Anolis sagrei: one gene and its partner. The protein of the gene in region 1 interacts with the protein of each later gene in a pairwise test. Links are inferred from orthologs where the notes say so. Each region holds a gene or a part of one and is shown in the gene's direction. Other genes may lie near its edges.

Region 1 (16,033 bases):
ACATAAATAAATTGTAATAATGAAATGTACAGGGACATAACATATCTCATTAAAACCTTATCATTTATATTTTTACAAATATAAACCACATAAGGAAGCCTCGGGTTTGTTGCATGTCCTCCCATTAACCATGGCTTGATATCCACAGAGCATTTGGGGGATCCTTGAATGTTCAGCAAAGGAAGGGGCCCAAGGTAAGAGACCATCACACGGGCAATTTGGGGGCACAACGGAGGGGCTTTATGAAACATCCCACTACTGTCAGAAGCACTGTTGGTGGGGACGAGAGAGAGGGCCTTCTCAGTGGTGGCCCCTGCCTCTGGAACGCCCTTCCAAGGGAAATAAGGCAGGCCCCATATCCCTCCCCTCCTTTCGTAAGAGCTTGAAGACCTGGTGGTTTCAGCAAGCCTTTGAGAATGATCAGTTCTAACTCAGCCCTAATATTATATTGTAATGCAATATATTATTATTATTAATAATAATAATAATAATAATATGGTATAATCACATATTTCTGTTACATGTAATATTATTAATAATAATACGATATAGCGGTATGGTGCAATATAGCAATGTTTAATGCTGATATTGTACTATGCCAACAATATAATATATTGCATGTAATATATACCTTGTAAGCCGCGCCGAGTCCCCTTCGGGGTGAGAAGGGCGGCATAGAAATGTCGTAAATAGATAAATAATTAGGCTCGTTATGTTGAGACCGCAGTCGACACACAGTTTGGAAAGCTCTGCAACACAGCTTTAAAGAGTGGAAGGCAATAGGGGAAAAAAAGGGGGGACCACACTAAGGCAGTCCCTGAGGTACAAACATCTGACTCCTAGTTAAGAACGGGAGTGAGACGACAGGAAGTGAAAGGAATCTCCCCCTTGGAAGAGAAGTTCCGTCCCAAAAGAGTTATTATCCTGGGGAAAAGGAGTCTGCACTAAAGATTTATCACCATCAAAATCCAATTATTACAGGTAGAAACAGCAGAGCAGTGGTTGTCAACCTTCCTAATGCCGTGACCCCTTAATACAGTCCCTCGTGTTGTGACGACCCCCAACCATAATATTGTTTTCGTTGCTACTTGATACTTGTCCTTTTACTACTGTTATAAATCATAATGTAAATATCTGATATGCAGGATCGATTTTCATTCACTGGACTAAATTGAGCACAAATACCCAATATGCCCAATTGTGAATGCTAGTGGGGTTGGGGGGAGGATTGATTTTGTCATTTGGGATTTATAGTTCACTTATAATCAAAGAGCATTCTGAACTCCACCAGCGATGGTTTTAAACTGAACTTGGCACACAGAACTCCCATGGCCAACAGAAAACACTGGAAGGGTTTGGTGGGTGTTGACCTTGAGTTTGGGAGTTATAGTTCACCTATATCCAGAGGAATGCTGTGGATTCATGCAACCATGGTTCTGGACCGAACTTGGCACAAATACTCAATATGCCCAAATGTGAACACTGGTGGAGTCTGGGGAAAATAGACCCTGACATTTGGGAGTTGTAGTTGTTGGGATTTATAGTTCACCTACAATCAAAGAGCATTCTGAACTCCACCAATGATGGAATTGAACCAAACTTGGCAGACAGAATCCCAATGACCAACAGAAAATACTAATTTTCTGATGGTCTTTGGCGACCCCTTTGACACCCCCTCATGACCCCCTCAGGGGTCCTGACCCCCAGGTTGAGAAACACTGCAGTAGAGGAACATCTTCTAAATATGAAAACTAACACCACAGCGGTATTCACCCTTCCCTGTGCTATCTAAAGCTTTAAACTATGTGTATTTCTTGGCTGGAGTTACACTTGAAAATGTCCCTGATCTGACCTACATACAGATTCAACTTAAGAACAAACCTACAGAGCCTATATTGTCTGTAACTCAGGGAGTGTCTGTACAGGGCAGTTGATGACCAGGGGCCTTAGAGCTCTCTCATTCATAACTCAGAGCCGACTTGCTGACCAATAACATGGGAGTGGGATTAGCAACATTTTCCCAAGGTGTATTCAGGCCCATGCCTGAATACTCTCTCTCTCCAAAGACCTGCAGTTCATCCTCACAACAACCTGGAGTTGCCCTCCGTATCAAAGGCTTGAGCTGCCTGGATCTACTCAACAGAAGGAGAGATCCCCACCAAGGCAGGGGGTCCGTCTCCACCAAAGCACGAGGTCCGTCTGGAGACAATGATGGCACCGCCGCCTTCCTGACTCCGGTTGCTAGGCTACGCAAGGACCGCTGCATTCTGTCCACTCTCTCTCAGGTTGGTGGGCCACAGAAGCCAGGGACAATGCACCGGTCGTTGCAGCTTGAACTGAAGGGTATTGTGTTGGATTTAAGACTAGGACCGCAGATAACAGGGACTGTGCCCGGCAGACCCAGGCTAACACCAAATGGGCCAGGCAGAGAGACAGGAAACGCATCCGGGTGAAGACAAGCCGCAGAAGGTTATTCAGTCTGGCCAAAAAGAGAGACAAGGTCAATCATAACATTTTTTTGCAGCATGACAGCTATTCAAACATCCCGCGCCCCTCCCTGACTGGCTAAGAGAGGGGCCAGTCTGGATCCGCACCCTGATTGGTTGAGGACACTGCTGACATCACTGCCTCCAGGCGAGGATTCCCTTTTGCGGGGAAATGGCAGCCTGGGATTCGCTGACCGGAGGGCCAGGCGGCTGGTGGGACGTCCTCTGCAAAGGGATGCCCTTTATCGGAACAATGTCAAAGAGGGTTAGGGTTAGGAAACAATGTCAAAGAGAAGCCATTGAAATCCACAAGAAGCATGTGGACAATTTCAACAGAAAGGAAGAAACCATGAAAATGAACAAGATCTGGCTACCAGTATTAAAAAACTCTAAAATTGCAACAGCAAAAACAGCAGAGAGGAAACCGGCAGGGACATCTAATCACCTTTCAAGAAGAGTTTGCTCCAGGCACAGTCAGCCCATTGTATGCTAATCAAGGTGGTCAGTTGCAAGATTCACACCTAGCCCAACTGACAAGAGCCCTTTGTCTCACCCTGGCCATTCCACAGATATATAAACCCTTTCCCCCCCAGTTCCAGCAGACCTCACTACCTCTGAGGATGCTTGCCAGACATGCAGGCGAAACGTCAGGAGAAATGCCTCTAGAACATGGCTCTATAGCCCGAAAAAACCCACAAGAACTTAATGTCAAAGAGATGATAATGAGTCTTTGATTGACTGACTCAGCATAACAAGTGCTTGAGGCTCCAAAGACCTAAAAGGTGAGGGTGATCTTGACAATTGGAGTTGGGCTCCAAATAAAAAGGTTAAGCAAATGTACGCACGCTGAGCCTCTGTTTCCATGGTCAGCAATCTCTCAGCCCACGAGGGCCATTAAGTTAAACCAATATTTACTGTCTTATCTGGCCTGACGTGGGGAGCTGCCTCTCTCTGCATATATATATTACATATCTATCTATCTATCTATCTATCTATCTATCTATCTATCTCCAGAATGGGTTGTGATGATTACCCTAGCCGGGAACAGCCAGAGAGATTTGCCCACCCTCTCTTGCCCAGGAAAAGCCCCAGCAAGGTTACAAAAGGGTGGTGGTCTTCTGGGCTACGTCTTGTTGCATTTTATATGGAGAACGGGATTAATAATAATAATAACAACACTTTATTTGTACCCCGCTACCATCTCCCCAGGGGACTCGGTGCGGCTTACATGAGGCCGAGCCCAAAATACAGCAATACACGCAATAACAACAACAATACAAGCAATTTAAAAACAACAAAACAATAAAACAATAACATAAGCATTATCACCATCTTCCCAGGGGACTCGGTGCGGCATACATGAGGCCGAGCCCAAAATACAGCAATACACGCAACAACAACAACAACAATACAAGCAATTTAAAAACAATAAAACAATAACATAAGCATTATCAATAGGACAACACACTTTAAAAACTATGGGTAGGCCAAATGTAAAATTAAAATTGAAAGTAATGCTGCAGCATGGGCAAAAAGGCGATAGTGGCATTTGTGAAAAACAGACAAGCAGACCTAAAAATGTAAAGTGCTTTGGAGGATTCTCTATGTATGCACATACCTATACTCTACGTATACAGGTCTGGCAGAAGGTTAGAACAAGTATAGATTTTATTTTAGGGTTGAAGCAATTAAGTCTTTGTGGGCTTTGATGCTGCTCTTGGTCTGTTCCTGATATTCTCTGCAATCATTTGTAATTGAGGAGGAGGAGGAGGAGGAGGAGGAGGAGGAGGGGGTATCGTGTTCAATAACAGTATGATATATTTCATAATAGACTCGTATAACTGCATTACAGGCAGTCTCCAAGTTATGAACAAGATAGCACAGTGAGTATGCCAAAGCCTGTTAGTGTTTGTTTGCCCCAGTGAGAGAGTGCCTCAGTCAGTGCGAGGAGGCTTCCCTGCGAAGGAGGCCTCACAGAATGACAAAGCCCTGGAATGAGAGAAGCTCCCACGTGAAGGCTGCTGCGTGCAATGCTACTGTGTAACAGAGCCTAACGTTGGTTATGGGCCCAGTACTCAGCTTAAGCGGCTGAGGGGGGAAAGGAAGGGGCCCGAGGCGGTTGGGAATGGTGGGAGTTGGAGTCCAAAACACCTGAAGGGAGGGCGGGCCCAGATTTGCCCAGGCCTGGTTTGTTGTTGTTTATTCGTTCAGTGGCTTCTGACTCTTGGTGACCTCCTGGACCACCCCATGCCAGAGCACCCTGTCGGCCGTCACCACCCCCAGCTCCTTCAAGGTTAAGCCAGTCCCTTCAAGGATCCCATCCATCCATCTTGCCCTTGGTCGGCCCCTCTTCCTTTTTCCTTCCTTTTTCCCCAACATCATTCCCTTCTCTAGGCTTTGCTGTCTCCTCATGATGTGGCCAAAGGACTTCCTCTTGGCCTCTACTCTCCTTCCTTCCAGTGAGCAGCCGGGCTTTCTTTCCTGGAGGATGGACTGGTTGGATCTTCTCGCAGTCCAAGGCACTCTCAAGACTTTCCTCCAACACCACAGCTCAAAAGCATCTCTCTTCCTTCGCTCAGCCTTCCCTAAGGTCCAACTCTCACATCCGTAAGTGACTCTGAAGAAAACCATTGCTTTGACTATGTGGATCTTTGTTGCCAGTGTGATGTCTCTACTCCTTACTCTCTTATTAAGCTTGACCATTGCTCTCCTCCCAAGAAGGAAGTGTCTCCTGATTTCCTGGCCACAGTCTGTGTCTGCAGTAATCTTTGCGTCTAGAAATGCAAACCCTGTCACGGCCTCTACCTTTTCTCCCTCTATTTCCCAGTTGTCAATCATTCTTGTTGCCATAATCTTGGTTTTTTTTAATGTTTAACTGCAACCCAGTTTTTGCGCTTTCTTCTTTCACCTTGATTAGAAGGCTCCTCGGCTCCTCCTCGCTTTCGGCCATCAAAGTGGGATCATCTACATATGTAAGGCCTGTTTACCCTCCATTAAGTGGCTGAGGGGGAATAGGAAGGGGCCCGAGGCTGTGAGGAATGGTGGGAGTTGGAGTCCGAAATACCTGGAGGGAGGGAAGGAGGGCCCAAGTTGGCCCAGGCGTGCCATGACCTCTTTCACCATCAGCAAATGCTTAGAAAGCCCAGAAAAAGAGACTTTGAAGACCACCAAAGTCTAGATGGAAGTCAACAATATTATATTTTTTCCTTTTTTAAAAAAAACAAAACATTTTCCCCTTTTTCTCTTCTTATATATATATATATATATATATTCTATTTCCTATATGTTCTGGAACAGCTGTTCCAGGAGCTCCAATTTTATTTCTTTGGGTTAAATGTTGGTTTGCAATCCCAGGCTTGGGATTTTGCAGCAGGGTGGCTTCCTGTTATAATTTGCATTCATAGGACAAGCCACCTGTCAATAACAGTTAGGTTCCCTGGTCCCGCCCTTCTTTGAGTTTTTTGGAGGGAAGGGGCTATTTTTCAGCCAGTCTCAGCAAAGGAAGTCTATGCAGAGGATGTACACAAACGTCCTCCTGTGCAAAGGCTTCGTCTCTTAAGACTTCCCGGGGGAGAACAGTCTTGAGAGCCTCTACAGATTCCCAAAGGGTTCCAGGGAAACAGCTTTACAGCCCTGAGGACTTCCGGAGGGAATAACAGCTCTGCTCATCTCCAGCTAAGTGACTACAGGCCTGCTGGTACGTCTGCTCGGTTCTGAGACGCAGTTCAGCCGGTAGTAGACTCAAATCAGTCAGGTTTAGGTTCACAGCAGCCTGGGAGGCGCTAAAAGGGGGAATTTTCCTTTGAGCAAAGTTTATGAAGATAGTGCCTGTTTCCTGTAAACAAGATTGCAAGAGCTAATAGACCAGCGATTCTCAACCTGGGGGTTGGGACCCCTGGAGTGGTCACGAAGGGGTGTCAGAGGGGTCACCAAAGACCATCAGAAAACACAGTATTTTCTGTTGGTCATGGGAGTTCTGTGTAGAATGTTTGGCCCAATTCTATCATTGGTGTGGTTCAGAATCCTCTTTGATTGTAGGTGAACTATAAATCCCAGCAACTACAACTCCCAAATGTCAAGCTCTATTTCTCCTAAACTCCACCAGTGTTCACATTTGGAAATATTGAGGATCTGTGCCAAGTTTGGTCCAGATCCATCATTGTTTGAGTCCACAGTGCTCTCTGGATTTAGGTGAACTACAACTCCAAAACTCAAGGTCAATGCCCACCAAAACCTTCTCGTATTTTCTGTTGGTCATGGGAGTTCTGAGTGCCAAGTTTAGTTCAATTCCATCATTGGTGGAGTTCAGAATGCTCTTTGATTGTAGGCGAACTATAAATCCCAGCAACTACAACTCCCAAATGGCAACATCAATACATCCCCCCCCCCCCCCCCCCGCAAACTCACCAGGTATTTGTGCCACATTTGGTCCAGTAAATGTAAATACAGTAGCAAAATTACAGTTTTGAAGTAACAATGAAAATAATATTAAGGTTGGGGGTCACCACAACATGAGGAACTGTATTAAGGGGTCGTGGCATTTGGAAGGTGGAGAAACACTGTAATAGACTGTTAAGCCTGTTTGTTCCTTAATAAAGAACTGTTATATTTAAGCTCAAGCCTCATAAAGACTGCTTAATAAGGGAAATTTTCCTAAAGGCTTCTTTTTGGGGCCCTGGCTTCCTGCTGGATGCAAGCCTAACATCCTCTCTTAAAAGCACCTTCAAACTACAAGAAAGGAGATTCCACCTGAACATGAGAGTTGTTCAGCAGTGGAACTCTCTGCCCAGGAGGGAGTGTGGTGGAGGCTCCTTCTTGGGAAGCTTTGAAACAGAGGCTGGATGGCCATCTGTCAGGGGTGATTTGAATGCAATATTCCTGCTTCTTCACAGATTGGGGCTGGACTGGATGGCCCACCAGTTCTCTTCCAACTCTTTGATTCTAGGATTCTATGATTCATTTCGGCTCCAGCGGCGACAGAACACTATATATACATAAAATCCAACCAATGCTCCATTCAGCAAAGGACAAGAGGGATCCTCTCACCTCTGCAGGAGTCTACCATTGTATACCATGCAGCTGTGGACAAGAAGTCTACAGAGGGACCACCACACGCAGCGCCATTGCCCAGACACGGATCAAGGAACACGAAAGACACTGCAGAGTAACTCAACCAGAGAAGTCAGCCATAGCAGAGCACCTGAGGAACCAACCTGAACACAGCAGATTATTTGAGAACACGGAAATGCTGGACCACTCTCACAACCACCATGTCAGACTACACAGAGAAGCCATTGAAATCCACAAGAAGCAGGTGGACAATTTCAACAGAAAGGAAGAGACCATGAAAATGAACAAAATCTGGCTACCAGTATTAAAAAACTCTAAAATTACAACAGCAAAACAACAGAGAGGAAACAACCAGGCACAGCTTAACACCTCCCAGCAACAGATTTTCCCAGGCTCAGGCAGGCCTTCAAATGCTAATGAAGGTGATCAGTTGAAACATTCACACCTAGCTCCAGCAGACAAGAGTCCTTTGCCCCACCCTGGTCATTCCACAGATATATAAACCCATTTTCCTACTTCCAACAGACCTCACTACACTGCCGATTCAGTTCCGAGCACAATTCAAGGTGCTGGTTTTGACCTACAAAACCCTGTACGGTTCCGGTCCAGTGTATCTGTCCAAACGTATCTCCCTTTACGTCCCACCCCGGACTCTGAGATCATCTGGGGAGGCCCTGCTCTCGACCCCACCACTCTCACAAGTGAGGCTGGTGGGGACGAGGAGCAGGGCTTTCTCAGTGGTGGCTCCTCACCTGTGGAACTCACTCCCGGGGGAAATCAGGGCAGCACCATCCCTCCTCGCCTTCAGGAGGAGGGTGAAGACGTGGTTGTGGGACCAGGCCTTTGGGCACCTTGGCAATTAAATCAGACAATCAGGCGAGTAAGACCAGCAGGATTGATGAAATGGAATGTAAAATTAGATCAATGAGCGAAACGCTGACCATGTAAAAGGAGAAATTGGGTTTGTATTTGTTTTTATTGATTTTATTGATTTTATGATAATTAATGCATGCACTTTGTGAATTATATTATGATATGATGTAAGTTTATGTATAATTGTTTCATGATGCAGGCATCGAAGGGTGCCTTTGCTTTTGTAAGGCCGCTCTGAGTCCCCTTCGGGGTGAGAAGGGCGGGGTAAAAGAACCCCAAATAAATAAATACCTCTGAGGATGCTTGCCACAGATGCAGGCGAAACGTCAGGAGAAAATGCCTCTAGAACAGGGCCATATAGCCCGAAAAAACCCCACAAGAACCTAACTATATATACACTTTTTTCCTCTCTTTTTGCCTTTTTTATATACTTGGACCTTGATATTCCTACTTTCCTATCCAAACCAAATATGTTCCCCCACTTTCGAGGTTATATATATATTTTAATCCTCCTAATAAAAACATTTTTTTTTTTAAAAAAAAAAGGGAAATCCTGAGCCAGTGCCTCTTGCTTCCCTCCCTGCCCTTCCCTCCCCCGGCCACAAGGGGCGCTGCGGCGCCGGCCCTCAGGCGAGAAGGGGCGGTGCTAGACTTCCTAGAAGGGCTTTGTTTACCTTCCGCCTATGGAGAGGAAGCGACGGTTGCTTAGCGACGGGAGGAGGAGGAGGAGGCGGGGAGATCCCAACCGCGGCCTGTTCTCGTCCCGAGAGGTGAGCGGAGCCCGGCGTGGGCTTGAGGCGGGCCTTCCCACCCGAGGCTTCCCCAGGGGACGCGCCCCTCTTCTCTGCTTCCCGCTGGGCCCTTCCACACAGCCACATAACCCGGAATATCTGCTTAGAACCGGGTTCCCTGAGTCCACATTGCCACATAATCCGGTTCAAGGCAGATAACGTGGGATTGGATTCACCTGCGTGGAAGGGGCTTCTGTCTTCACGAGAGGAAGTATTCATATAATTATCATTGTTACAAACTTGCAGAATCTTGGCTTGTGGGAGGTTTTGGGGCCATGTTCTAGCAGCATTCTCTCCTGACGTTTCGCCTACATCTATGGCAAGCATCCTCCGGATGCTTGCCATAGATGCAGGCGAAACGTCAGGAGAGAATGCTGCTAGAACATGGCCCTATAGCCCCAAAAACCTACCACAACCCAGTGATTCCAGCCATTTATTTATTTATTTATTTATTTATTTGTCGTGTCAGATCAACCAGTCAATTATATTACATTTCTAACAGAACAAAGCAAACAAACAAACAAAACACAAAGTTTGCAAGCTTGGTAGTTGATTAAATGTCCTTTGACCAGTCTCTGTCCCCTTGGAGTGCTTCTGGTGTTGCCGCAAGGAGGTCCTCCCTTGTGCATCATGTGGCAGGGCTCAGGTTGCATTGCAGCAGGTGGTCAGTGGTTTGCTCTTCTCCCCACTCGCGTGTCGTGGATTCCACTTTGTAGCCCCATTTCTTGAGGTTGGCTCTGCATCTCGCGCAGTGTGTTCAGCACCTTCCAAGTCGCCCAGTCTTCTTCTGTGTGCCCAGGGGGGAGTCTCTCATTTGGTATCAGCCACTGATTGAGGTGCTGCCACTTTTGGACTCTCGCTTGCTGAGGTGTTCCAGCAAGTGTCTCTGCAGATCTTAGAAAACTATTTCTAGATTTAAGTGGTTGATGTGCTGGCTGATACCCAAACAGGGGATGAGCTGGAGATGTCTCTGCCTTGGTCCTTTCACTATTGGCTGCTACTTCCCGGCGGATGTCAGGTGGTGCAATACCGGCTAAGCAGTGTAATTTCTCCAGGGGTGTAGGGCGCAGGCACCCCGTGATAATGCGGCATGTCTCATTCAGAGCCACATCCACTGTTTTAGCGTGGTGAGATGTGTTCCACACTGGGCATGCGTACTCAGCAGCAGAGTAGCATAGTGCAAGGGCAGATGTCTTCACTGTGTCTGGTTGTGATCCCCAGGCTGTTCCAGTCAGCTTTCGTATGACGTTGTTTCTAGCGCCCACTTTTTGCTTGATGTTCAGGAAGTGCTTCTTGTAGGTCAGAGCACAGTCCAGAGTGACTCCTCCCAGGGATTTGGGTGTGCTGCAATGCTCCAGGGGTTCCTTCCCAGGTGATCTTCAGAGCTCAGGATGCTTGTCTGTGTTTTAGATGGGTTGGGGATCATCTGGTTTTCCCTGTCATAGGCAGTAAGGGCACCTAGAGCTTCGGAGAGCTTCTGTTCTACCATCTCAAAGCTCCCTGCTTGAGCAGTAATGGCACGATCATCAGCATAGATGAAACTCTCTGTCCTTTCTGGCAGCCATGAAAGCCTTCCACAATTACAGAATCTTGTACTGTACTGGTTTACTGTACTGGTTACTGGTTACAGCAAACAATGTTGGCTTGCTTACTTAGGTGATCCCTCATAGTCCGAGGAGGATGGTCCTCCAAGTATAGTGTCCTGGCTGTGGGTTCGTAGGTGACTGTGGAGCCCTATTCTTGACCTGCATCTTCTCCCACAGTGAGGGCATTGGATTCCACATGGAAGAAGGTCCCAGTCAGGGTTGGCTTAATGTGCCTCCTTCCTCTTGGCATGTTTCTCTCTTTCACCCTCCATTTGTGCCTCTTTGAATTCTGCAGCACTGCTGGTCACAGCTGACCTCCAGCTGGAGCCCTTAATTATTATTATTATTATTTCCGTCACTTTTACCCCGCCCTTCTCACCCCCGGGGGGGGGGGGGGGGACTCAGGGCGGCTTACAGAGGAAGGCACAATTCGATGCCTTTATCACATATACATACATATATAAACAAATTAAACAATTACAAATTAAAAATTAAAATCATCAATACACATTAATACAATAACACAGCAGTAGGTTAATCCTGAGTTCAGCGTTCGAAGTTTCATAAGTCCATTCCATCTCGACAAGTTCCAGCTCGTCATTAGGTTTTTCTTTAGCTGCCCGGGTGTCCAAATGCCTGGTCCCATATCCAGGTTTTCAATTTTTTCCTAAATGAAAGAAGGGACATTGCCGATCTAATTTCCCCGGGGGGGGGGGGGGAGTTCCACAGGTGGGGGGCCACCACCGAGAAGGCCCTGCTCCTCGTCCCGGCCAACCTCACTTGTGATAAAGGCGGGGTCGAGAGCAGGGCCTCCCCAGAAGATCTTAGGTTCCGAGGTGGGACGTAGAGGGAGATCCGTTCGGACAGATACACTGGGCCGGAACCGTATAGGGTTTTATAGGTCAAAACCAGCACTTTGAATTGTGCTCGGAATTGGATCGGCAGCCAGTGGAGCTGACACAACCGGGGGGTGGTGTGCTCCCTGTATGTCGCTCCGGTGAGCAATCTGGCTGCCTCCCGCTGGACCAGTTGGAGTTTCCGAGCAGTCTTCAAAGGCAGCCCCACGTAGAGTGCGTTGCAGTAATCCAGTCGGGATGTAACAACAGCGTGGACCACCGTGGCCAAGTCCGACTTCCCAAGGTACGGTCGCAGCTGGCGCACAAGTTTTAATTGTGCGAAAGCTCTCCCGGCCACCGCCGAGACCTGGGGTTCCAGGCTCAGCGATGAGTCCAGGATCACTCCCAAGCTGCGAACCTGCGTCTTCAGGGGGAGTGGAACCCCGTCTAACACAGGCTGTAACCCTATGCCCTGGTTGGCCTTACGACTGACCAGTAGGACCTCTGTCTTGTCTGGATTCAATTTCAAGGCTCCCAGTTCTCGGTGTCAATGCCAAAGTTGAGCCCATCTTTCAATCTCTTTTCCTGCCCACCAACATTCCGTTTTCCGTTCGGAGTAGAGCAACTGCTTTGGGAGACGGTAGTCGGGCATCCGGACAACGTGGCCGGTCCAGCGGAGTTGATGGTGGAGGGGCATCGCTTCAATGCTGCTGGTCTTTGCTTCTTCCAGCGTCTGACATTTGTCCACTTGTCTTCCCGGAGTTGATGGTGGAGGACCATCGCTTCAATGCTGCTGGTCTTTGCTTCTTCCAGCATGCTGACGTTTGTCCGCTTGCCTTCCCAAGAGATTTGCAGGATTTTTCAATGGCAATGCTTATAGAATCGTTCCAGGAGTTGCATGTGACATCTGTAGACAGTCCACGTTTCACAGGCATACAACAGGGTTGGGAGGACAATAGCTTTATAAACAAGCCCCTTGGTCTCCCTACGGATGTCCCGGTCCTCAAACACTCTGCTTCATTTGGAAAAATGCTGCACTTGCAGAGCTCAGGCGGTATTGTATTTCGGTGTCAATGTTGACATTTGTGGAGAGGTGGCTGCCAAGGTAGCATTGGCTTAGCTCTCACTACAAACCACCCTTCTCCAAGAACCAGGGACAGTGTGCCCACTCTTTTCTGTTGAGGCCGAGCAGGAGGTGGAATCTGCGGTCAGAGTATCTTTGGAGGAAGCGCAGGGAAGAAGAAAGTCGCTCTTCCTGACTGCTTCTGTGCCAACTTGGTTCTATTGGCAGGTTACTTTTCCAAACTACGACCCACCTAAGGCCCTAAGATCTTTTGGGGAGACCCAACTCATTGTTCCCCCATTGTCGCAATCACGTCTGGTGAGGACAGGGAACGGGGCCTTTTCTGTGGTGGCCCCTCGGCTATGGAACTCCCTCTCAATTGAAATTAGATCTGCTGCATCCCTCTTGACCTTCCGGAAACAAGTGAAATCCTGGCCATGGGATCAGGCCTTGGTAGATTAGGGTGACTTGCTGACTTGACAACTTTTACAGAACTGTCTGACTCCCCCTCGGATGATGATTCAAGCTGACTGTGTGTTTTTATATTGTTGTATACTGTTTTACACTGTGTATTGTTATACTGCTGTTCAATTATATATTTATGTTTCTGGAATGGGCACCATGGGATGCCAATTTGTAAGCCGTCCTGAGTCCCTCTGCGGAGGTTGAGAGAGGGCGGGATAGAAAAGCCCCAAATAAATAAATAAATAAATACATAGGGTGCCTGGCCGCAGAGTCACAGCAGCTGCGGCCTGTTTGTTGCTGGCAGGATTCCCGGGCTTTGTGCCTGGCTCTGCCCGGTGGCAAAGCGCGGGGCGTCACTCCCTTTTGGAAGGCACGCAGGAAACGGCTGAGAGGTTTGGAACCAGAGGGCTACAGAGCTTCTCTTACTACCTGTTTCATTAAGCTCCATTTCAGCCCAATTACATTATTTATTTATGTATTTATTTACTATATTTGTATACCGTCCTCAGCCCTCAGGTGACTCAGAGCGGTTCACAATGGCAACAATTTGATGCCCCAAAACACCATAAACTATTTAAAAACATTAAAGTAAAGGTAAAGGTTGTCCCCTGACATTAAGTCCAGTCATGTCTGACTCTGGGGTGTAGTGCTCATCTCCATTTCTAAGCCGAAGAGCCGGCATTGTCCATAGACATCTCCAAGGTGAGGTGGATCTGTAATTCGTTAAATGGACGAACCCAGAGGGTGCTCACTAATGCTTCCTCTTCATCTTGGAAAGAAGTGACGAGCGGAGTGCCACAAGCAGGGTTCCGTCCTGGGCCCGGTCCTGTTCAGGATCTTCATTCATGACTGAGATGAAGGGCTAGAAGGCAGGATCATCAAGTTTGCAGACGACACCAAATTGGGAGGGATAGCCAAGACTCCAGAGGACAGGAGCAGGATCCAAAACGACAGATTAGAGAGATGGGCCAAAACTAACAAAATGAAGTTCAACAGGGACAAATGCAAGATACTCCACTTTGGCAGGAAAAACGAAATGCAAAGAGACAGAATGGGTGACAATGCTTGGCTCGAGAGCAGTACGTGTGAAAAAGATCTTGGAGTCCTCGTGGACAAGTTAAATATGAGCCACCAATGTGATGTGGTGGCAAAAAAAGCCAATGGGATTTTGGCCTGCCTCAAGAGGAGCCTAGTGTCTAGATCTAGGGAAGTCATGCTCCCCATGCTCTATTCTGCCTTGGTCAGACCACACCTGGAATATTGTGTCCAATTCTGGGCCCCACAATTCAAGAGAGATATTGACTCTAAGCTGGAATGTGTCCAGAGGAGGGCAACTAAAATGATAAAAGGTCTGGAGAACAAGCCCTATGAGGAGCGGTTTAAGGAGCTGGGCATGTTTAGCCTGAAGAAGAGAAGGCTGAGAGGGGATATGATAGCCATGTATAAATATGTGAGAGGAAGCCACAGGGAGGAGGAGGAGGGAGCAAGCTTGTTTTCTGCTTCCTTGGAGACTAGGACGCAATGGAACAATGGCTTCAAACTCCAAGAGAGGAGGTTCCACCTGAACATGAGGAAGAACTTCCTGACTGTGAGAGCCGTTCAGCAGTGGAACTCTCTGCCCCAGAGGGAGTGTGGTGGAAGCTCCTTCTTTGGAAGCTTTTAAACAGAGGCTGGATGGCAATCTGTCAGGGGTGATTTGAATGCAATATTCCTGCTTCTTGGCAGAATGGGGGTGGACTGGATGGCCCATGAGGTCTCTTCCAACTCTTTGATTCTATGATTCTAAAGTCATGTGACAGCATGACAGCCTGGAGCGCCGTTACCTTCCCGCCGGAGCGGTACCTATTGATCTACTCACATTTGCATGTTTTCGAACTGCTAGGTTGGCAGAAGCTAGGGCTGGCAGCAGAAGCTCACGCCGCTCCCCGGAATCAAACCTGTGACCTTTTGGTCAACAAGCTCAGCAGCTCAGCGCTTTAACCCACTGCACCACCGGGGGCTCCTTAAAAACATTAACACATAATATAAAATCATAACAAGAGTATTAAAAACGTAATCCATTTGTGTCTCCTAATCATAACATTGTCCCATCTCGTCATCCAGTTGTTCCAAATTCCTATGTCTTTTACCTTGCATTTTCAAACACTTGCTGAAACAACCAAGTCTTGAGTCTTTTCCAGAATGTTAAGAGGGGGAGGGGGCCGATCGAATGTCCCCAGGAAGGGCGTTGCATAGCCGAGGGGCCACCACTGAGAAGGCCCTGTCTTGGAGATCCGATTGCTTAAAAGTGGCAGCAACAAAATGTCTGCTTTTTACCACCTGAATCCTAAATTTGCATCTGAAATTTAAGAAAAGCTTGGAGTGGCAGCATTACCATGAATATCTTTGCGGATGGTGTATTGGCTCAGTTAGTGTCCGGTATTCAGAATGAATTTTTGGACTCAGAATTCTTTTCAATCTCAGTATATGTTCTTGAGGAGCCTCCGGTGGTGCCGCGAGTTAAACCGCTGAGCTGCTGAACTTGCTGACCAAAAGGTCTCAGGTTCGAATTCAGGGAGCGGGGTGAGATCTCACTGTTAGGCCCAGCTTCTGCCAACCTAGCACTTCGAAAACTTGCAGATGTGAGTAGATCAATAGGTACTGCATCTGCGGGAAGGTAACAGCACTCCATGCAGTCATGCCAGTGGCCACGTGAGCTTGGAGGCATCTGTGGGTGACGCCGTTCTCTCCTGCTTAGAAATGGAGATGAGCACCAGAGTCCCAGAGTCGGACACAACTAGACTGAATGTCAAGGGGAAAGCTTTATCGTGACTTTTATATGTCCTCGGTATCACGATTTGGTTAGTAGAGCTCTCGTGTTTGT
Region 2 (16,007 bases), on another chromosome or scaffold:
CAGTTGATATCTGCTGTTAAAATTATGCATGCCTTATGAAAATGAGTTTAAAATACTGGCTTTAAGGGGAAATGTTGGCTTCTAATTTGTTTACTTTTTTTCTAATAATGAACTAAAATGTGAAAAGAACAAAATGAATGTAGACATCAAAAATTTTGATGAGCTTTCGGCATGCTCAATATCCAGATCCTAAGCAAGTGTTGAATCTTAGTATTACAGAATTTGGAAGAGACCACAAGGGCCATCCAGTCCAACCCCCTGCCATGTAGGAACACAGCATCAAAGCATCCCCAAAATATGCCTATCCATCCCCTGCTTAAAAACTTCCAGAGGAGGAGACTCCATCAGACTCGAAGGCAGCACATTCCACTGCCCAACACCTCTTACAGTCAGAGAGCCTTCCTAATGTTTAGGGGAAATCTCTTTCCCAGCAAAATGACTTCTGCCAGAAGTTACCATACAGTCTCACTGGAGAACCTAAGAAGTTCATAGAGAGGATATCTAGCTAAGAATTTTCTAAGTCCTCCAGTAAGACTCTATTATAACTTCCAGCAGAAGTCATTCATTTCAGTAGGATTCACTGCTACCCCTCTATTCTGCCTTGGTCAAACCACACCTGGAATACTGTTTCCAATACTGTACAAGCTGGAATGTTTCCAGAGGAGGGTGACCAAAATGATCAAGGACCTGGAGAACAAGCCCTATGAGGAGCAGCTTAAAGAGCTGGGCATGTTTCACCAGCAGAAGGGAAGGCTGAAAGGAGACATGATAAATATGTTAGGGGAAGTCATAGGGCGGAGGGAGCAAACTTGTTTTCTGCTGCCCTGGAGACTAGGATGCAATGGAACAATAGCTTCAAACTACAGGAAAGGAGATTCCACTTGAACATTAGGAAGAATTTCCTAACTGTGAGAGCTGTTCAACAGAGTATGGCAGAGTCTCCTTCTTTGGAGGCTTTTAAACAGCATCTAGATAGCCATCTGTTGGGGGTGCTTTGAATGTGATTTTCCTGCTTCTTGGCAGGAGGATGGACTGGATGGCCCACAGAGTCTCTTCCAACTCTATGATTCGATGATTCAATGGTTTCCTGTTTTCATGGTAAGTTCAGAAACATGGAAACACATTTCAATATAGTGTTCCCACCTTGATATTCCTTGCCATCACCCCAGACCCTAAAATACATGGAAAAGAGGGGCCAAGACCTGGAAATGATGGCCAGGTCCTAAAATCTGAAAATCCTGGTCACAGCATTTGATGAGGCAAGAACTAGCCCTTCCTCCAGCATCATCAAATAACTCCTGTGTAGCAGATGAGGCAGAGGGATACATAGAGGATCTCTCATCACCCACCAAAGATTGAAGATAGGGACCACTCCCTGCTTTCCCTTTTGCAATTAAACAGGGAAATGTCTCCAAAAACGTATTTTATGTTCTCTATCAAGAGGGCTAGGCCAGCCTGGAGAAAGGAGTTAAGTCTTTGGCCCATAGATTTTAGTCTTACTATAAATGTAATCATTGAGCCCCCCTGGGGTGATAAGGCAGGTTACAAGTAAAGTTTTTATTATTATTATTATTATTATTATTATTAAATTCAATACAAATGGAGTTACTTACACAGAAATGAATTCCTACAATAGTGGTGTCGACACCATATATATATATATATATATATATATGAACAGCATCAATGCATCCACAATGCGCTCTGCCTTTTGGAATTTCTATGATCAATTTCTGCAAATGTGCAGAAACCAGGGTTATATAATCAGGACTAATCCTGAACATGCTAAAATGAATAGGGAATGTGATCTGTGGGTATATAGATCTAAATATAAATGGGACTCTCAAAAATGAGCAATGGCTCCAGATCTTGTATATCAGTTCAGTGAGTTCTGCTGCACATTATAATTGCATGGAGTATAACTTGTTCATTTGTTCATTCATTCAGAGAATTTATTAATCCTTTTTCTGCTCAGAGGCCCCTTCAAAGAATTGCTCAAGTCAAAACAACGATACACTAATATATTAAAATATATTGCGACCACAACAAATTAAAAACAGAAACAAAACATTTCCGCTGCTTTTAAATTGTTCTTGTTTCTCTCTCTTCCTCCTCCTTTGTCCAAAGCTTCTTTCAGTTGTTGCAAATGGAGTTGAAACTGTAGAAATAGTTTTTAAAAAGCTTCCCTGCTCCTCAATGTAATATGTTTTTAAATATGTAAACATGGCTTTCATGTCAAACCCTAATTTCCTCTTCTCAAGGCATAATACATGCAGCTCTCCAAACAACTCCTTATAGGATTTTCCTTCTGGACCATTGCCCATTTGGTCACCCTTCTTTGAGCCCATGCCAGCTTGTCAATATCCTTCTTGAAATGTAGTGCCCAGAATTTCAGGTGAGGTCTGACCAAATTAGATTAAAGTGGAACTGTTGCTTCCCTTGATCTAGACACTATATTCCTATTAACACAACCTCTAATCACACTGGCTTTTTTAGCTGCTGTGCCACATCATTGACTGAGTATGATGCAGCAGCCTTGTGTCTTTGGTCATATAACTAGAACTGACAAGAGATTCAATTGCCAATTGGCTTTTGTACATGAAATGGAATGGACACATATTATATTTCATCTGAGACATAGTCTCTGATTTGTAGGCATGCTCATAATTTCCAGGGACACTGGTCAAGTGCTTCATACCCTTTTGCCATGACTGCTTTATATTTCTGTGTGAAGAACTGTTGTACTCTTGGGAATCTTGAAACAAATTTATTCCTTTAAGGATCTGCCAAACACTGCTTTCCTGCTTTCATTTATCTCCTTTATAAAAACATAATGAAACTACAAAAATGTTTTTACCCACTTTTTCAATCCCACAAATGCTATTGCATTCTGAAATGTGAGATCTGACATTTACTTCATTTAGGATAATAATTTAAAAACCAACTGGGTCCAAATGACTCAAGGAAAAGTGAGCCAAACCAAAGGTGACAGGGGAGAGCTAAATTGCTACGTTGAGGTTAGCTCTAATGTGTCATTCAGTCAATGTGACGTTCTCATTGACATGTGAAATTAAGCTCTTACCTGCTGGAGACTTCCACGTGGCCTTTGTTAACCTGGTGCACTCCCCACTCTTGGCTTCCCATACAAGCAGAACCTTATTTATTCCGATTGTACTTTTCCTGTTTCTCTGCAAGAGCTCCATGAATATTTGAAATTACATTTTCCTCTTTCCAAATTGTTCATTCCATCAAGCTGCCCACTCCATTCAAATCTTAGCAGGAGCTCTTTAGTCTAGTTGACAGCATCTTGGCCTGGGTGCCACAGGTTGAATTCTACATCCAGTCACCTCATAGTTTCAAATGTACAACTAACAGTTTGAACCTCACTTCTTCATATGTTGAATTCAATTAAAAGGGAACAGAAGGTATGTGTTGTGTGTGGGGGGGGGGGGGGAGGGGAGAATAATCAATAGCCACATTTTCTTGTATGTGGGAAAATAGCCTTCCACTGCCAAATGTTCTTGAATATTCCCATTTCAGAACAAGATATGATTCATGAAGATGTTTAGATAAAGGTAGAGGTTTCCCCTGACATTAAATCTAGTTGTGTCCGACTCTGGGGGGTTGGTGTTCATCTGCATTTCTAAGCTGTAGACACCTCCAAGGTCATGTGGCCAACATGACTGCATGGAGCACCGTTACCTTCCTACCAAAGTGGTACATATTGATTTACTCACATTGGCACGTTTTCAAACTGCTAGGTTGGCAGAAGCTGGTCCTAACAGCGAGAACTCACCCCACTCCCTGGATTCAAACCACCAACCTTTCGATCAGCGAGTTCAGCAGCTCAGTGGTTTAACCCACTGCACCACCCCCTGCCAAGAAGCAGGAATATTGCATTCAAAGCACCCTTGGCATGGGTATAGTGGGCCCTCTAGATACATATGATCTGGGTCCATGATTTCCAGGGACTGCAGATCACTGAGCCCCCTATTAGTGACGTGAATGTGGATATAACTGGTGGTATTTAGACAGAGGCTGGGTGACCATATTTCAGAGAAGTTTTAAGATGTGAATTCTTGTACTGAAATAGGGTTGGACAAGTTGTCCATTGAGGTCAAGTGATAGGCCCAGTTCTATGTCAGACCTTCTTCCAAACACACCACACCCAACAAAATTAAATGTATTTTGCTAGTGTGCTTTTAAGAAGAGGAGGTTAATGTAGCATGGTGCTCTCTTCTGTAACACTCCCAGTGGCATCTTTGGATGTTGTCTCATTACCACTTGTAGGAGTTAGGCACGGAGCAGATTGAGTTAAAGCAGCAATGCCAACAGCACTTTGCACAATGAAGAGAAAGAGATGATATTACGCAGCATAACTACAGACAATGTTTAACAGCTCTGGTCACAAAATGAAAACATCTCTCCGAGTTCTTCTTTAGGAAACTTCCAGTTGTCATAACAACCTCGGCTGCAGCACTTCTCCTCCTATTGCTATGGGAGTTTTCATTTCCTTATGACACCATTCCTAGGAAAACAAAGCCGTTTTGAAAAATTAAACAGAAGCCCAGTTCAAGGGAAAGAACAAATCTCTTCTTAGCCCCCATGCCACTTCCAAACACAATGCTATTTATTTTATTTTCACCATACAATGGAGCTCCCATTATGGTATACGCCATACTGAATCAATTAACCTCTAGAGGAGGAAAGTTGCTTCTCATTCACTCTTTAGATGACCAGACAAATATCTCTAGAATATCATGTTGGCAGCTCAATCAGCATCAATTACCCTTTGCCTAAAAAAAATCTTGATATGCACTCTACCGCATCTACCAGAAATGCCCCCCAGAATGTATCATCTTAACATTTCCAAGGTATCGAGCTAGGCATCTACATGCTGATTTGCCAAAAGAAAGCTGCCATCACTCTCTCTTTTATTCAACTTGGTTTTCCAAGGTATCTCAGTTCTTAAGAGACTCTAGACTACAATTTCAAAGAACCTTAACACAGCCTTTAAGATGCAAAGTGCGAAAGTACTGAAATTCTCATACCCCTGTAGATGTGTACAGGATTTAACCTACCTTTTCTGTGCAATATGGTTTACAAAAATCCCACATCTTTGGTTGTTGTTGTTGTTGTTGTTCATTCGTTCAGTCGTCTCCGACTCTTCGTGACCTCATGGACCAGCCCACGGCAGAGCTCCCTGTCAGCCGTTACCACCCCCAGCTCCCTCAAGGTCAGTCCAGTCACTTCAAGGATGCCATCCATCCATCTTGCCCTTGGTCGGCCCCTCTTCCTTTTGCCTTCCACTTTCCCCAGCATCATTGTCTTCTCTAGGCTTTCCTGTCTCCTCATGATGTGGCCAAAGTACTACAACATCTTTGGTATGACAACAATAAAAGCCAAAAAAGGGTGAGGTGGGGAAAGAAACTACTTGAACATCACAAAAGACAATATTGGGGGGGGGGGTCAATAGTAGATGGAAAAGAAGCAAAATGACTCATCCCAGGCTGCTAGAAATAATCCACTCTTATCGAAAATATGGTGAATGGTGATGTTTTCTTAGTAATCAGTAAGATTTTAGGAATTGATAGTAAAGCCGTTCTTGAGGAGTTTAAAAAAACACAGCACCTAAAGCAGTGGTTCCCAACCTGTAGTCCGTGGACCACGAGTGGTCCACAAGAACGGCGGCCTCACCGTTACTACACCAATGTAACGAGAGCAACTGGTCTCACAAAACCCTCTTATAGTGCCAAGGCAACTGGGATGTCAGGAGGGGAGAGGCTCACTACCCACTAAAAGTGTGAAAACAAGCCTGCTGCCTGCTGCTTCTCCTCCTCCTCCCTCACTCCCCCCGAACAGAGTCATTCCATGTGGCACCTGGAAGTGGGGGCACCTTGGTGTCTTCATTTTTAGGCCTGTTCCTGGGGTTATTTGGGGTGGTGATTCAGAAAATTGCTTTGGATAGACCACATCAGCTCTAGATTATTAAATATGGTTTTCTGTGGGCGAGTAGATGGCAACTACTGGATGGCATATGTTCTGTATCAGAAACTAGGGTTGATGTGATCTAGCCAATGAATCAGCACCCCAAATAACCAAACCAAATCTAAAGTTGACCAAAAACTGATTAGTAACCCTTTTGGCACTAATATTGGAGAGTGGTCTCTAGTCAAGTGGTACCTGGTTAAAAAAGATTGGAAACCACTGGTCTAAAGTCTTCTTTGGAGTCCCTTTCTTTGCTCTGTTTTTAAGCAAGAGCTTTCTATAGAAATCACTCAGTTGGATGTGAAATGTGACAGCATTTTCAATATGCTATGCTGTATCATTTCAAATAAAATGTTAAGTTTCACAGGAATTCAAATACCAGGGACATAGCAACATATATACTATAAAATAAAGGGTGTGTGTCCAAAATAGTAAAATATATCCCTCAAACTACCAAGGATCTATGTGTGTCTCCCCTACCCCCACCCCCATTCCAGGTCCTGGAGCGAAAAACATGTCCTTTGAGATCACTGACACCAGTCCTAAGCACCGAAAGCCCATTCCTGAATGGTTGAATATGACAATTATTTCCTCTTCCTGCACCACCTCCTCCACCAACACCAACACCACGTCCTCTTCTCATCATCATCATAATTTATTTATATGGCTCCATCCCTGTGTATGGTGTTTTACAAATAGAAGCACAACAAAATAATTCCCTGCCCTCAGGTTTACAATCCAATTAAGACAGGCTATAAAAAGAAAAAGGGACGGGGGTGGTGGGAGGGGATTTTGTCCAACAAGTACTGCCTCTTTTTCTCTCTTTCCATTACCAGGGTAATGACAGTTAGGATGTAGAGAGAACTACATTCAGAACAAGAGTTCCTCCAAACCAGTGCCCTCACTGGTTTGCTGCCCAACACGACATTAGTCTGAGGCTGACTTTACTGCGATTTCATTACTGCCATATGTTTACCAGGGCATTTATAAGCAGGCAATGAATATGATTGGATCTCTGCACTATACTTGTTTATCTCTGCTGATTGTTACAGATTTTATTAGGTGCATTACACTAACATTGCTTATTGTATTTTATTGCTTTAATATTGTTACTTGCCCTGGGACATCTGTGAATGGTAGAAATAGAATTAATATGAAAAAGAGATGCTGGTCATTCATATGAGTTTTTCTTCTCGGCATTAGTTAGCTATCCCAGATGCCTGCTAAAAGCTTATGGAATTCAGTAGAACTGTTCTACTGAAAGAGTTTCTATGTAGCTTCTATGCAGTAGACAATTGCTTCAGATGGCAGGAGTTTGGAGAAGGGGAGTAGCAATGACCTAGACTCTTCCTAACTACTCCATTAGTTTGTATAAAAGGAGTTGAACATGCCACCTGTGCTTTCTGGTTTTGGCAAAGTATACTATTCCAGCACAAATCTGAGTGAGATCTTGCCTGCTTTGGGCACCCACAAAGGCTTGTCATGCTGTTAAAATGTCTTTAAAGACCATCACTTTGGGGTTATTGTTAGATCTGGATAAAAAATACAACCAACCCTACCAGATCCAAAAATTCTGTGAGCATGAAATGTTTTATTTTGGATTTTTTTTCTCCGTGTCAGGAGTGACTTGAAAAACTGCAAGTCGCTTCTGGTGTGAGAGAAATGACCATCTGCAAAAATGTTGCCCAGGGGATACCCAGATGTTTGGGTGATTTACCATCCTTTTGGGAGGCTTCTCTCATGTCCCCCAATGGGGAGCTGAAGCTGACAGAGGGAGCTCAACCCATGCTCCCCAGATGCAAACTGCTGACCTATCAGTCAGCAGTCCTGCTGGCATAAGGGTTTAACCCATTGCATCACCAGGGGCTCTGCTTAGTTTTGGATAACAGGTACAGTTACCATGTTTTACAAATTTGATATCTTATTCTCAAACTGGAAATACAAAATTGGGAAATCCTTGACAAGCACTCTCACCATGTCATAATAGACTGTCTCAATCAAAATTGAAATAATGACAAAATTTCCTATATCCCTCTTCTCTACACATTTTCCCCTGCCTCAGGGACAACTAATGGAACCACTGCTGTAGGGACAGAAAATCTACTCCAACATATCCCCAAAATGCTCTGAGGATCGAACTTGGAGCAGCAGTGGAAGGAACAGTGACAAAATCTAGATTAGATTCCTTGCCCCTGTACCAGTAGGTCCATTGATCCTCAACTCTCTCCACCTAGTGTGATGTGAATCCACAAATATTGCTATAGATCTGTAGAACTTTCCATCAAGCCATTCATCCAGCATTGTTATGTGTTTTGAAGTCATATCTGATTGATGACAACCCTAAGAGCCAACCACAGAGTTTTCTGAGGCTGTGAATGTGTGATTAGCCTGGGATCACCGAGTGATTTTCCATGGCTAATGGAAAATTGACCCCCTGGTCTCTAGGGTGGTAGTCCAATGCTCCTCCATTACATCACACTGATACTTTATCTCATCTATCCCTTTATTTATTTATTTATTTATTTATTTATTTATTTCCATCACTTTTTTCCCAAACTGTGACTTAAGGTGACTAGTGGATTCACCAGTCAACCCTGACTAGTGCATTAGTGCTCTGGGCCATAGAATGTAGACTTGATGGATATACATAGGAGCACACATATATGTTTTATTTCCTAAATTATATTGTGCTACCTTTCCATTTGCCAATGGATATTTGTTAAAAAGAAGTCATGTCCTAAATCATACCTGGCATTCTGTTAATGAGTTATGTACAACACAACCTAAATGAAGTACAAACTAAGTGCAATTTGCATAAGTCAATTTGAGGACAGTTGCAGAAGACAAGAAGCAGGAAAATCACATTCAAAGCACCCCCGAAAGATGGCCATCCAGCCTCTGTTTAAAAGGCTCCAAAGAAAGAGCCTCCACTCAGGGGCAGAGTTCCACTGCTGAACAGCTCTCACAGTTAGGAAGTTCTTCCTCATGTTCGGGTGGAATCTCCTTTCCTGTAGTTTGAAGCCATTGTTCTACATCCTAGTTTCCAAGACAGCAGAAAACAAGCTCGCTCCCTCCTCCCTGACTTCCTCTCACATATTTATACATTGCCCTCATCATGTCTCCTCTGAGCCTTCTCTTCTTCAGGCTAAACATGTCCAGCTCTTTAAGCCACTCTTCATAGGGCTTGTTCTCCAGACCCTTGATAATTTTAATCACCTTCCTCTGGACACATTCCAGCTTGTAAACATCTTCCTTCAATTGTGGTATGCAGAATTGAACACAGTATTCCAGGTGTAGTCTGGCCAAGGCAGAATAGAGGGGTAGCATGACTTCCTTGGATCTAGACACTATACTCCTATTTATGCAGGTGAAAATTCCATTGGCTTTTTAAGCTGCTGCATGACATTGTTGGCTCATGTTTAACATGCTGTCCATGAAGACTCCAAGATCTTTTTTCCCCCATGTATGCTATCAAGCCACAACCTCTGTGATGCCACAACCTCTGAGGATGCCTACCATAGATGCAGGCGAAACACCAGGAGAGAATGCTTCTGGAACGTGGCCATACAGCATAACAAACTTACAACAACCCACTGTCCTACTTTTGCTTGTGTGGAACTTTATGCTACACCTCCCAATGCAAATCTCAGCCATCCTTTCCTATGGCTTGATGGATTATTCTAGTTTAATCTGGGTTCCTCCCACCCCCACCATAGCAGTGGAACCAAGAACATGAGTGTGACCAGGACATGTCACAACCATAAGATGACCTTCTCTCTTATCTGATTTTTTTTTCAAAAGCCATGCTATGTAACTGCCCCAAAGCATACTTAGTGCAAATGGATTCACATCACTGTGGATGAGTTTACAGTTCAACAGGCAGGAACATATCATATGCTTGTCTGGATCAATGCAAAGCCACATTCATCAGCAGCCCCTCAGGGATGGTGAAGGGGAGGAATCAAGTATGTACTATAGATTCAGTTGATTGGTATGACTAATTAAAATAATGCAAATCAACTATTGATCTAATTTTGGTGACTATATGTAACTAGGGGCTGTAAAGTGTGGCAGCTGGGCCAGGGATATATTTTGCAAAGAAACTGGTTATTTTGTCTGGCTGAAATAAAACGTGGGGTGGTTACACAGATAATAGGTCACATTCAGATGCCTAAGAAACACATGGAACTGTTGTCCAAGGGACCTCTGTCACAAATCAAGGCAGAGAGTGGGACACATGGGAAGGCCCATAAGCAAGAGGGGTCTAGAGGAATGGCTGAAGAACGACCACGTTGCAGTTCCGCTGCCCATCTATGTGATGCTGAAGTGATCAGTGATATGGAGAGCCGACACTTGGGAGCACTGGCCATGGGCAGCTATTCCAAACCCTGCAGTTCCAGTGAGGACAGTTTCGAGTTTCAAAGTGGCCCTGGGTCAGAAGCTAAAAGCTTTGCTAAAAGCAAAAATAAGGATGAAGGCTATCAATCACATCGATTCAAATGCAACCAGAAGTGGGGTGAAAAAATCCATCATCTGGAGCACTCTTCACTCTACCCGGGGAAAGCAGGAGACACCAGCCAGAAGCATCAGCAGAGGAAGAAGTTGCATAACCGGAGTAGTTCATCCACCTCTGATTTGAGCATCCTGAGCCAAGGTTCCTCAAGCTCCTTGTCTGTTGTGGAAGAGAAAATTGAAGCCAAACTCAAGTTCTCACAATTCCTGAATGAAGTTACCTTCCGGGTCCTCGACCCTACAAGTGTGAAAGCCTTCCGAGCAGCTAAACTGAAGAGTAGCCTTGGCTCTGCAGGGAGAAGCCTTGATGATTTACGTCTACGGAAGAAGAGCTCTGAGGGCTGGAAGGGTGAGAATCTGGCCCAGAAATCACAGAGAGAGACAGACCTGGAGAGTTTGAGAAGTGATGATGTTGTGTCTGGAGCACGGATGCGGAAGCTGGAGAAATCTTTGTCCTTGGATGCCGGGCCTTCTTTTGGGAGATACAGAAACGGGATTCCAGGTCAAGTAAGTAAATAATGGGGGTATTTTATTAGCACTGGCAAGGGTATAGCTTCTTTCTTTTTTACTAACAGATCTCTGTTTTGTTTGTTTATTTGACCAGCTACCATTTTTTGTAATTCATGAATCCCAGAGCTTGGTACATTAGGTCTAAAAATTAATTTGCCAATGTTAAACATTTGTAATTGGAAGGTTAATCCATTTTAACTCACACTAAGACATGACATCTGTTAATTCGCGTTTCATAAATTTACTTGGATTGTTTGTTTCTGGAACAGATCATGGAATGTGCTGAAAATGGTATGAAGACTGTCATCCTTGACTCTGGAAACACATTTTGTCATTTGTTTAATTCTGGAGTTGGTAGTTTAGTGAGGCCTTCCAAAGCACTCATTTTGAAGTTGTCTTTCACCAGTCTGGAATTATCTTCCAAGTGGATGATGAACTCATACTATGACTATTGCTTAGAAATAGTACAGGTCCAATATTAGTGGAAATTGTCGAGCTGGGAAAAGCTGTCTTAAAACATGATACCTTTATTTAGGAGATTATCACCCCACACTGTTAAAGAGTTGCTATTCCACTTCAAATTCTATGGCTGCCTCCTGTAGAATTCTGGGATTTGCAGTTTAGGGAGGGGCCATCTCAAATTCTCAGCCAGAGAGGTCCAGGTCCTCAAAAAACTACAACCGCCAGAATTCTACAGGAGGCACCCACAGGATTTAAAGTAGGATGTCAACTCTTCAAAGTATATTGTGTTAATCTCCTAAGTGTCTGTTCAATTAAGCTTTCTCACTTGTGTGTATCTGCCTTCGCTAGTATCAGACTTTACCCCTACGCATCCGTGCAACGTGTATACTTCACACACTTTATAAGGAGTGATGTTCAAGGCTAAAAGGAAAGTTGTTTTATGTCTGCTAGAGGACAATTTTTGCCGTGTAAATGCAGCAGTGAGTGGCTGAATACAAAGATTGGTCCGTAAACAGAAGGTGGATAATTGTTGTTTGCAATTGTTAACTGTTCTTGAGGGACCAGCAAGATCTCCTATTCTCAACAGCCCTTGCAAACTTAAGGACTTCCTTGAATGAGTCAATCCATCTAGAACAGGACAGAGCAGACTTGTAGTTGTTAGGAGTGGTGTAAGTTGAAATCCAAAATACCTGGAAGGCTGAAGTTTGTCCGTGCCTGATCTAGACTGTGGTCTTCCTCTTTTCCTACTATCTCCTACCTTACCAAGTGTCATTGGCTTTTCTGGTAAATCATGCCATCTCATGATATGGCCAAAGTACAACAGACATCATTTAGTCAATTATGGCATCCAGGAAGAGTTTAGGCTTGATTTTCTGTAGAACCAACTTATTTGACTTTTTGGTAGCCTATGATATCATGGCCAGGAACACATTTTAAATGAGTTGATTCTCTTCCTAATCCACTTTCTACATTGTTCTAAAACCTTGCTGCATAACTGTTTCCTTGTGACTCTTTCTCCCTACTCCCCATCAGGAAGTGTGGTTTGCAAAAATCAGTGGCACCACACATGTCTGTAGAAGGCTACCATCTTTTTTGGACTATAATTCCCAGATTCCCCCATCCTAGCTAGGAGGATCTTGTAGTTGTACAAAAAAAGGAACTTTTATAAGGCACTGGGAAAGATGGCGAATTATATGTACCTTGTGTCATGAAAATATTGTAGAAGATTTTATCAATTTGGATTTAATATATGTGTGGGAATGAATGGAAGAATGGAAGGATGTATGTATGGAGTTAATAATTTTGGAGACACCAGTATAATATTAAGGCCTGCAATGACTAATTACCTGCTTGCTGGAGTGTGATTAAAACCTGCTAATAAGAACTGAAAAGTAAACTGTGATAAAAACTGTGACAATGATTATTTCAATTTAAGAAAATGTTTGCAACATTCCTTATGTTAAGAAGGAATTTAATACAAGCCTTGTGTTTGTCAACACCAATCAAGAAGATCAACATCTGGCCAGGAAACTGAGATGGATCCAGGATGGATCATTAATTTACAACTTTGGGACTACATCAGCAGAATATTCCTATAAAAGCCTCAATCTAATAATGCTCAAAATGTGGCAGACCTGAGGAGTCTGTTCAACCCGCCATGCTCCATTCCATGGGCAGGAGAGAGATGTTGTATTCGGAGAGTGTCAGATATGCTATGGTAAAGCATGATTCTGGACACTTTGGGGCTTCTTTCTCTAGGGAAGAGGAAGAAGTGCACTTTTGGAGTCTTGGATTTTGTGCAGGGAGTCGGGTTCTGCTGTAAGCAAAACAGAAATCTGGTCCTTGGCATTATTCTTAGAGAAAGAAGTTTTGGGATTTCAGCATTTTTAAGTTATGGAACTATGCATTGGCAGGCTGCAGGAAAGCAGGGTCTGGCCTAACAGGTGCTTATCCAAGGAGGGAGAAAATGATATGGTAATATTTGGATGCCTGAGGATGAATGCGTGTACATGTGGTGTGAATGTTGAATGAAAATGTAATTTCCCTTTGTTTGTTTGTTAGCCATGTAACTGTAAATCCAATGTAGTTGCATAGAATCTGTATGTATGTCCAATGTCATTCTTCGTCCAAATGTTTTTCTGTAATCTGATGTACCCTCTCACACTGGAAATTGCAATAAAAAGAACCTATTCTTCAAAGTTATTGAAAAGTCATTCAGGACACTTGTATTCAGCAAATTACAGGTGAATGGTCATCAAGTTGCCAAAAAATACAAAGACATATTTGATTGACATGTGATTAGAGTGATTGCATTGCAGTTATTGGATGATATGACCTATACCAATCTCATTCTTGATTTTAAGCTTTTTTGTAGTTTGGAGAGAATTCATGGACCTTTTTGCTGGCTCCTTGCTGTCTCTACACAGACCAGTAAACCGAGCCTGGACCCATTCACAGTGTACAAACTTCTTGTTGTTTTGCTCTTTCACGAGTGGTGACCCTAAGGTGAACCAATCATGCGGTTTTCTTGGCAAGATTTTTTTCTCCTCATTTCTAAGCATACCCCAAATACACACACAGACATGAGCCATTGATGCTTCTAATATAACTATTAGGCCTCCCTACAGCTTTAATTTCCATAAGGTACTCTTGATATTTTGCTCCTTGTCAAAGATGCCCTCCAGGCATGGTTCTGGGCAGGAGACAGCGGTGAACTGAAAAAGTGGGGTCATAACCTTGGCCAGCAAATTGAAGCTATGGTAAGAAAATAATCTTGCAAAGAACTCTCCTCAGTTCTAATGGATGCTATTAGATTTTAGGCAATTGTGTGATTGATACAACAGATATTCAGAACGACGACTTCTTTTTCTATCTTAATTCTATAGCCCTCCATACTGGTCAGAAACCTGCACTGGAAAACTTTCATAGCTTTCCAGAGCTGGTTTTGAAGGCTTTAAAGTGGAGTGGGAGTTGTAGGAAAGTGGGGAAATTGCTCTGTTCTTGGTTTCAGGGAATTATATCAACGGAACTAACATATCACCCTGATCTTTCACCACAGGACATTCTTTTCAGTCCTCAGAGACTACCATAAGAAAAATGGGATGGTGATTTGGGCGCTTGGATTGGGAGAAGGATACAATAGTTTCTATGCATAACCCAGAAATTAAATGTATATTTAATTTACATTGCAGTTGTGAGGTGCTATGACTGAAGAGCTCCTGTTTTTTATATTAAAGGGTTGTGCATGATTTTAAGAGCTACGTAGGGCTGAGCCTGATTGATACTCAGAGGGGAGGCCATCAGGGGTGCTCAGGGATTCCCATGATAGTCTAGAACACGTTCTGCCTGAAACCATGGAAAGCCATTGCTGCTAGTTATACTTTTCAGCACTGTGACAGATGTGATCAGTGGTCTGATTGCCTATGTTCTTAACCAGTGCTCCAAAACATAACATTTTTGGATTACAGTGTTCAAATTCCCATGCCAGAATGTCCAATGATCATGCTAGTTTAGGAATTATGGGAATTGCAGTTTAAAAAGTAACTTCTCTATGCTCTAGAACAGTGTTTCTCAACCCGTGGGTCCCCAGAAGTTTTGGCCTTCAACTTCCAGAAATCCTAACAGCTGGTAAACAGGCTGGGATTTCTGAGAGTTGGAGGCTAAAACACCTGGGGAACCACAGGTTCAGAACCACTTCTCTAGAATCAAGTCCATTACATATTGTCCATCACTTGTAATCATTTTTAAGAAGAGGCTTCTTTTTGGAGGCCTTTAAGCAGAGGCTGGATGGCCATCTGTTGGGGGTGCTTTGAATGCTTTTAGGGTTTAGTGAGCATTGACCTTGAGTTTTGGAGTTGTAGTTCACCTACATCCACTGTGAATCCAAACAATGATAGATCTGGACAAAACTTGGCACAAATACTCAATATGCCCAGAGTTAACACTGGTGGCGTTTGAGGAAAATAGACCTTGACATTTAGGAGTTGTAGCTGCTGGGATTCACGTACAGTCAAAAGCCTTTTGGGCCCCACCAATTGGGCCAAACTTCCCACAGAGAATTGGGCCAAACTTCCCACACCAAAAAAAGTACTGTGTTTTCTGATGGTCTTTTATGGCCTCACACAACCCCTCCCCACCCAAGGGCTCCCAACCTCCAGGTTGAGAAACACCGCTTAGGGTATTCAGACTCCCCTTAACACAGTATTCTTCTGCTTTACATTTTTTCAGGAACACTCAATAACTGTCTTATTTTGCAACGCATATTAAGAAATGTTAAAAGGAAGGCTTCAAAATATCTTGATCTCCTTGTACTTATTTGGTTTTTTCCTTAGTCCTTCATTCAATCTCTTATGGCTGCTGTGATGTTTGCTGCATTATTTTGCATATGTAGCAATTAAATAGCAATAATACATAACACAATTCAGGCAGTTTTAAAAATAAAAAGGTGTTTCTTTGTAAACTAAACTAAAAGTAGCATATGAAAAAAGAAGACAGTAAGATAAATAATCCAAAGCACTCAAAAGAGTTAACAGCAC

The links.
Region 2: the proteins of ENKD1 (region 1) and BEGAIN interact in binary tests that used the Homo sapiens proteins (3 or more experiments, as listed by UniProt). The two-hybrid records come from large-scale screens. The link is inferred for Anolis sagrei from reciprocal best matches to the Homo sapiens genes ENKD1 and BEGAIN.

The regions. Positions count from the first base shown.
Region 1 is NC_090028.1:44,001,021-44,017,053, reverse strand, and holds the start of ENKD1 (enkurin domain-containing protein 1), read left to right. Parts: upstream 1-9,123; 5' UTR 9,124-9,199; intron 9,200-16,033. UniProt on the Homo sapiens protein: Microtubule-binding protein which regulates microtubule organization and stability. Promotes the stability of astral microtubules and facilitates the proper orientation of the mitotic spindle.
Region 2 is NC_090021.1:322,778,730-322,794,736, reverse strand, and holds the start of BEGAIN (brain-enriched guanylate kinase-associated protein), read left to right. Parts: upstream 1-10,045; 5' UTR 10,046-10,155; coding exon 10,156-11,007; intron 11,008-16,007. UniProt on the Homo sapiens protein: May sustain the structure of the postsynaptic density (PSD).